Macaca mulatta: one gene and its partner. The protein of the gene in region 1 binds, or shares a complex with, the protein of each later gene. Links are inferred from orthologs where the notes say so. Each region holds a gene or a part of one and is shown in the gene's direction. Other genes may lie near its edges. The genes, in order: MUSK and DOK7.

Region 1 (3,811 bases):
ATGAATACCAGCATCATTGAATAGTTAACACATGACAGCAAAACCTGCATGAATAATTCTCAGCTCAGAGACACTGGGAAATATTTAATTTTTACATGGTGGGGTTTTTTCTGTTACCTATAAAAGGTCACACATGATTGTATTCATCCCCCCTTTATACTGAGATATTACATCAACTTGTGAGGCCATTTTGTAAACCAGTTTGAAATATTCCTGGTCACTACTTATTATATAGTTTCTTAAAGCACAGTGTAGAAGCTGGATGGGGATTAATTCCTTTCCTTCCCATCCTAAGAGTCATGGCTGACACCTGTATAATAATGACAGGTTAACAAGAGAAGAGGATAAGAAATTTATTTGATCACAGTTTTATATAACTTGGGACCCTTGAGAATGAAGACCCTAGATACAGGGAAAGCAATCCTTTTTTTTTTTTTTTTTTTTTTTTTTTAAGACAAGGGTCTTCCTCTGTCACCCAGGCTGGAGTGCAGTGGTGCAGTCTGAGCTCACTGCAACCTCCGCCTCCCGGATTCAAGTGATTCTGCTGCCTCAGCCCCCTGAGTAGTTGGGATTACAAGTGCCTGCCACCATGCCCGGCTAATTTTTATACTTTTAGTAGAGACTGGGTTTCTCCATGTTGGCCAGGCTGGTCTCAAACTCCTGACCTCAAGTGATCTGCCCATCTCAGCCTCCCAAAATGCTGAGATTACAGGCGTGAGCCACCATACCCAGCCGAAGCAATCCATTTTTATGCTTAGGTTCGATGAAGTATGAACAACTGTGTAGAAATATGATTAGACACAATGTGATCTAATGCTAACAGGCTGAGTGGGGAAGCTAGCCCATCCTGCCTGTTCCGATTTTTCTCAGCCCCCCTGTGCAGCACTCGCACCTCTGGAATGAAGGTCTGAATTTCTTTATGGTCAGGTGTTATACAGAAAAGCGGGGGGGGGTGGGTAGAGTAAATATTTAGGTGTTATGGCTAGCCTTGAGGAAAAGGCATTCTGATGTCTATGATCTGTCTTGGAAAAGAGGGATTCTAGTGTCTAAGATTTGCCTCGGGGAAGAAAGAGAGGAGAGACAGGAGGGCGGAAGATCTGTTTCTGAGGCTGCTTCTTAGGCCTTCACTTTGGGGTGTCATTTATTGAGCCTGAACAACAGCATCCTTGTTTCTGTCTAATTTTCTCTGGGGGTTTTCTCACCTTTACCTTGAGAAAGTTTTCATGGAGTTTTGTGCTTTCTTATTCAAGGCCTTCATTTTAAATATCCCCAACAAACAAAGGGATACAGTAAAAATCATGCTGCCTAATTAGTAAAAGGCTAGTATGAATTAAAGGAAGACTCTATATTACAAAATATTGTTTTAAAGCATAGCTGTGTTTCTTGGAAGTTCATTGTTTCACCTGAATGTAGTAGATCTCATTCTAATGAATTTGCTTTAAAGACCTGCCAGTGATGGTTTGTAATTATAGTATTAATTTTTTAAATTCAACTGGGGTCATGTAACAATTTTAAAATTTGACACAAATTCTAATTTGTTTAATTTTCTTACTTTAAATTCTTCATATAAAGACAATGAAAAGCTAAATTCAATAGCTGTACAAATCTAAATAAGAATACAACTTAAGACTTTTCTGTCATTACTAACACTATGGAAGATCTGATAGAAGACATAAGAAAATACTGAGACCATCACAGTGCCTACACATAATAAGTATTCCACATATGTTTGTCAGGTGAGTATATGAGTTGTTATAATTCCCAGCATTACATTAAGGGAACAAGTAGATACGTGAAGAGAGTACCAGCAGCATTTTCCATTCTCCCAATTGTCTTCAGTTATTATAGCAGATAAGTTTTTAATCCTATGTTTGTGCTAGCACTAGCATTTACAGGTTTCTCCCTGATATATGGCCCATTAACACACAATAATCTGAGTTCAGAGTAATTACTTGTATCACTCAACAGAATAGATCATTGAGGCACTGGGTGACCAGTTGACTTTCCATGTGATGAGATGTGATGAGAAAACAGCAAAGCTGAAGGTTCTACTTGGCTCCTCTGGAAGCCATATTTCTGCTTTCTCCTCCCTACATCACTTTCTTTTTCTTTAATGGAATTCTGGGAAGAAGTGTGAGCGAGAGAATCTGAGTATGGAAGGTGTTGCAAAGATGTATATGTTGTAAAAAACTAAGGTAAACTATCATAACACATAAATAAACTATGTCCCTAAAGCTGCAAATATTTTAGCTGAGAGCAGTTATTATTACGCTCAATTATTTGTTAACCATCATGATGAAATGTCTTCCAGATGCATCTTTGCTTATATCAGCTTCTTTGCAAGCAGTCTGTAAGGTGGCTTAACTAAGAGTAGTCAGATTCTATTTATAATGTAGAATAATAAAAATACCCAAATCTATTCAGTCCTTTATAGTTCCCAAAGCTTTCCACATCCATCATCACATTTGGCCTTCTCAATAGCCCTGTGGAGTAGCTACAGATGATATAATTGCAGCTGGAAATGAAGACCATATTCAAATGGAACATGTCAACCAATTTGCTAGTACAATTTTCTCCTATTTCTGTGACACAGATGTGAAAACAAACAAACAAAAAAAAAAAAAAAAAGAAAGAAAGAAAAGCAGAATGAATGCCAAGAAATAGCATGTGATTAGAAATGTTGTTCATTTCTTCTTTCAGTAAACCACAGAAAGATAACAAAGGCTACTGCGCCCAGTATAGAGGGGAGGTGTGTAATGCAGTCCTGGCAAAAGACGCTCTTGTTTTTCTCAACACCTCCTATGCGGACCCTGAGGAGGCCCAAGAGCTGCTGGTCCACACGGCCTGGAATGAACTGAAAGTAGTGAGCCCACTCTGCAGGCCAGCTGCTGAGGCTTTGTTGTGTAACCACGTCTTCCAGGAGTGCAGTCCTGGAGTAGTGCCGACTCCTATTCCCATTTGCAGGTAAAATCTCAAAAATAATTCAAAGGAAAAATTCCATTTTTCTATCTGCACAACAGAAAGAGTTTTTGAAAAATGTTGTAATGTGCAACAGTAAAAGGAAAAAAGCGGTTTTCATCCAAAATAGGAGGTAGTGGCTGGGCACAGTGCCTCATGCCTGTAATCCCAGCACTTTGGGAGGCAAAGGTGGGTGGATCACTTGAGGTCAGGAGTTCAATACCAGCCTGGCCAACATGGTGAAACCCCGTTTGTACTAAAAATACAAAAATTACCCAGGTGTGGTGGCACACTTGTAATCCCAGCTAGTCGGGAGGCTGAGGCAAGAGAATCACTTGAACCGGCGAGGCGGAGGTTGCAGTGAGCCGAGATTGCACCACTGCACTCCAGCCTGAGTGTTGAGACTCCATCTCAAACAAAGAAACAAATAGGAGGTAATTAATCAGACAAAATGTCTATCATGTAAATCACTGAAGATAACCTAAAATACAAGTACTTAGAACCTCTAGAAAATGTCATAAATGGTGTCATATTCCATTACTCTTGTTATTGCTCACATTATTATGGTATCCATAAATATCCCAGATTTCTATCAAATGAAAGGAGAAATCTTAAACTAACATGGACCTCATTAGTAAGCCAAGATAGAGAAAATAAAAACTGTACATTTTGTCAATAAATGAGATCATGCCAAGCATTTCAGAATGTTATTTTAAAGTACATTCCATCCAAAATTCTAAGTTCTAATGCTGTTGCCTCGTTTGGGTGGGGTAGGAGGGAATTATACTGTAAATAGATATTTTTTAAAATTCTCATACTTTTTAAATATTGAAATTGATAAACTTATGTTCAA
Region 2 (3,811 bases), on another chromosome or scaffold:
GATGACATGGTCGGCGTGTTCGACTGTGCAAGGTGAGGGTGTGCAGGGTGCAGGGCGGGGACAGGGACAGGCAGAGGCAGCAGGAGGCTGAGGAGGGCTCCCCGCTCTCTCCTGCTCCCCGCTCTCTCCTGCTCCCCGCTCTCTCCTGCTCCCCGCTCTCTCCTGCTCCCCGCTCTCTCCTGCTCCCCGCTCTCTCCTGCTCCCCTCAGGCGGTTCCCAGGGAACAGAGGCCGTGCCAGGGAAGCAGCACTGGGTAGAGGATGCTGGGGAGGGTCGGCCTGGGACAGCCGCTAGAAAGGATAGGCCCCACCGCGGCAGCAAGCGGGCCAGCCCCAGGCAGGGTCATTGCTGACAGCTGGAGGGAGTTGGGCTGACCAGAAGTCCCAGACCCCACTCCACAGGATGTCCTTGTCAGAGTCAGCTGGGAGCTCTCAGAAAGCTCTGCTGTCAGGGCCTCGGCCTGCAGCTGTGCCTCCCAGCTGTGCCTCTGCAGGTGTGTGGGGGCCTCAGACCACCTGGAGGTGCTGGTGGAGCTGGGACACTATGCTGGGCAGCACCCCGCCGGAGGAGCCGTGGGCCCAGCCCCTGCAGGCTGGAGTCATGGGAAGGTCTGGGCTGGTGGGGTCGTCTGCCCAGGCTGGCAAAACACTGGCGCCCTGTGATCACAGGGCTCCCACGACAAAGCCCTGCGGGCAGCATCCTCATGCTCTGGGCTTTTTTTTTTTTTTTTTTTTTTTTTTGTTTGAGACGGAGTCTCGCTTTGTCACCCAGGCTGGAGTGCAGTGGCGGGATCTCAGCTCACTGCAAGCTCCGCCTCCTGGGTTTACGCCATTCTCCTGCCTCAGCCTCCCGAGTAGCTGGGACTACAGGCGCCCACCACCTCGCCCGGCTAGTTTTTTGTATTTTTAGTAGAGACGGGGTTTCACCATATTAGCCAGGATGGTCTCGATCTCCTGACCTCATGATCCGCCCGTCTCGGCCTCCCAAAGTGCTGGGATTACAGGCTTGAGCCACCGCGCCCGGCCTGCTCTGGGCTTTTTGCCATCCTCCTGTGCTGAGTCTGCTGTGACCCACCGGAGGGGCCGAGAGATGCAGGAGGTCCAGCCCCTTGGTCTTCTGCACGTGGACACCAAGGCCCAGAGGCAGCCAGACCAGCCAGCAGCAGGAGGGAAGGGCTCAGAGGCCCGGTGTCCGCCACGCTCCGAGCACGGCGTGCATGTTACCTTCTTGGCCCGGCCTCCACGGGGGTGCACCGTTGCTGCACCCTTTTGCAGACGAGGTTGAGAGGCTCAGGGGGTGCATGGTGGAGCTGGGAGTCGATCTGTGTCTTGCCCACCAGCTACTGGATGGGAAACGGTGGGAGGTTGTGTCCTGTGTCCTGACCCTGGTGTCACCGAGGGCCGCTCTTCATCCCAACTGCAGGGCACTGGCTTTGTGGGGGGCCCTGGTCGGAACGCCCGAGGGCTGAGGGACAGCGGTGCTGTCCTGTCACTGTGCTTGTCTTCAGCCTGGACCCTCAGCACACCAAGGAGCCAAGACTGGCGCCTGCTGTCCTGCCCACGTGGCAGAATGTGTCGGTGAAAGCGCCAGGAGCTGCCAAGCCGAGTGGCCTGTGGGCTCCATGGCCACCAGCAGCCTGTGTTGGGAGGGACTGGGGCCTGAGCTGGCACAGCCTTGGCTGCCATTGCCTTCCACCCTCCCAGGCACAGGTAGGGAGGGGACAGGAGAGAGGCTTGTACTGGCCCCATCCCTGTCCCTGGCAATGCTACAGATGGGGCCACAGGGTCATGGGCTGGCAGGGCCCCAGGCTGACCCGGGCAGTGCCTTGGGGCGGCCATACCCGGAGGCTGGGGGAGGCTCCTCCAGGTCCTTCTTGCGTTCCTGGGCCGGGTGCTGTGAGCTCTCGCCTGCCCGTGGGGAGAGCCCTGTTCTGAGGTCCTGATGGGGCCTCCTGTTGTGCTCAAGGGCCCCAGCTGGGCGCCTGAAGGTGTCAGCAGAGGACAGTGTCTTATCAGGGATGGGGCCTCTTCAGCCTAGATGTGAACCCGGACAGGGACACCATTGCTTTCTGTTTGTTTCTCCGGAACCCTGACTACGGGGTCAGGATGTCCGGCTGCAACCTCCGCCAGGCTCGGTTCTGTCCACCGAGGCTCTGATCCAGGTGTCCCAGGCTGGGGACTGTACCTTCCAGTCCTCTGCGTGCTGCAGAATTTGGTGTAAACTTTCCATGCTGCCACTGCTCCTGGATTTTGGGGAGAGCAGGTCCTTGGACCTGTTTCGGCTCAGTCCTGCAGGTGCCCCCAAGGTGGGTGGCAGGAGGTGTGTCCTGGAGGCCCAGAGGAGGCCACCTGGAGCAGGACGGGGTCGGTTTGCTCTTGTGCTTGTAGCTGTGGCTTCCCTGCCAGGGAAACTCTTTGGGACGGCTGTGGCCGTGGGTGCCATGGATGTGGAAGGGGCGGGGTCTTGAGCCCTGCTGTTTGGAGCACGGCAGCCACTCAGCCTAGTGCCCACATCACTTAGTGCCTGGGACATCCCAGCACGGGCGGGGGGCTTGGGGACCAGGGCGGTGATGCTGAGGCTCGGGACAGCGGTGCCGAGGGGCCAGTGAGAAGGGAGGTTTCCTGCCACTCAGTCCCAGAGGACCCAGAGGACACAGGGACGATGACCAGAGAGGGTGGGGCTGCTGCTCCCTGGATGCAGCCCTGAGGGAGGGGCTGGGTGGGGCCGAGGGTCCGCAGACCACTGTGCTCTGAGCCTCTGGCACAGTATGAGGCTCCATCCAAGGCCCCAGGGAATGGGACCGCCACAAGGTGGGCGGGCATTTCCCCAGGCAGAGAGGAGCCTGTGAGAAATGGGCACTGTGAATCAGGGGCAGGCAGCCCCTCTTGCAGTGAGACTGGCCCTGGGGATGGGGGAGGGGCTGGCCATTTTTGGAACAAAAAATTGAAAACCTCCGTGGCGAGGAAGAGGGGTCTGGCCTGGGGTCCTGGTGAGTGGACAGGTGGCAGGGCCATCCATGGGTGCAGGGACCCAGCAGGGCGGATGGTGGCCTGGATAGGGGTGGTGTGGGTGCAGCATTTGAGGCCCAGCATCTGGGCTGAGGCATGGGGAGAAGCGGGGACTCCCAGGGGATTGCCACTCCACGGAGGGGGCCACCACCGCGTCAGGCTGGGCCTGGTGCCTGCGGGCAAGGGTGGGCGGTGGGGGCCACTTCCTCCACTGAATCTTCTCTCTGCTGCAGACCCAAGCCCCCCGGGACCCTCGACTGTGGAGGAGCGCGTGGCCCAGGAAGCCTTGGAAACCCTGCAGCTGGAGAAGCGGCTGAGCCTCCTCTCGCATGCAGGCCGGCCGGGCAGTGGAGGTGGGGCCAGGGGCTGGCCTGGGCTGTGGGACTTCAGCTAAGTCTCCAGTGGGAGAGCTCAGGAGGCTTCCATGCATGTGTGGGGGCTGCTGGCTCCCTCTGCTCATTCATGCATTCCTTCTCTCTCCTGCTCATTCATTCCTTCCTTCCCCCCAACCCACTTATTCATCCTTCCTTCCCCCACATTCATCCTTCCTTCCCCCACATTCATCCTTCCTTCCCCCACATTCATCCTTCCTTCCCCCACATTCATCCTTCCTTCCCCCACATTCATCCTTCCTTCCCCTACATTCATCCTTCCTTCCCCCACATTCATCCTTCCTTCCCCCACATTCATCCTTCCTTCCCCCACATTCATCCTTCCTTCCCCCACATTCATCCTTCCTTCCCCCACATTCATCCTTCCTTCCCCCACATTCATCCTTCCTTCCCCCACATTCATCCTTCCTT

What was found.
Region 2: the proteins of MUSK (region 1) and DOK7 are in contact, whole or in part, in a crystal structure (PDB 3ML4), measured with the Mus musculus proteins. The link is inferred for Macaca mulatta from reciprocal best matches to the Homo sapiens genes MUSK and DOK7. Residues at the interface, in NP_035074.2 of Mus musculus: Leu547, His548, Pro549, Asn550, Pro551, Met552, Tyr553, Gln554, Arg555; in NP_001335203.1 of Mus musculus: Leu154, Ser155, Asp156, Leu157, Arg158, Arg159, Tyr160, Gly161, Gly172, Thr173, Arg174, Ser193, Asp197, Val200, Arg201.

The regions. Positions count from the first base shown.
Region 1 is NC_133420.1:47,621,305-47,625,115, reverse strand, and holds part of MUSK (muscle, skeletal receptor tyrosine-protein kinase), read left to right. Parts: intron 1-2,700; coding exon 2,701-2,964; intron 2,965-3,811.
Region 2 is NC_133410.1:3,679,924-3,683,734, forward strand, and holds part of DOK7 (protein Dok-7), read left to right. Parts: intron 1-3,241; coding exon 3,242-3,361; intron 3,362-3,811. UniProt on the Homo sapiens protein: Probable muscle-intrinsic activator of MUSK that plays an essential role in neuromuscular synaptogenesis. Acts in aneural activation of MUSK and subsequent acetylcholine receptor (AchR) clustering in myotubes. Induces autophosphorylation of MUSK.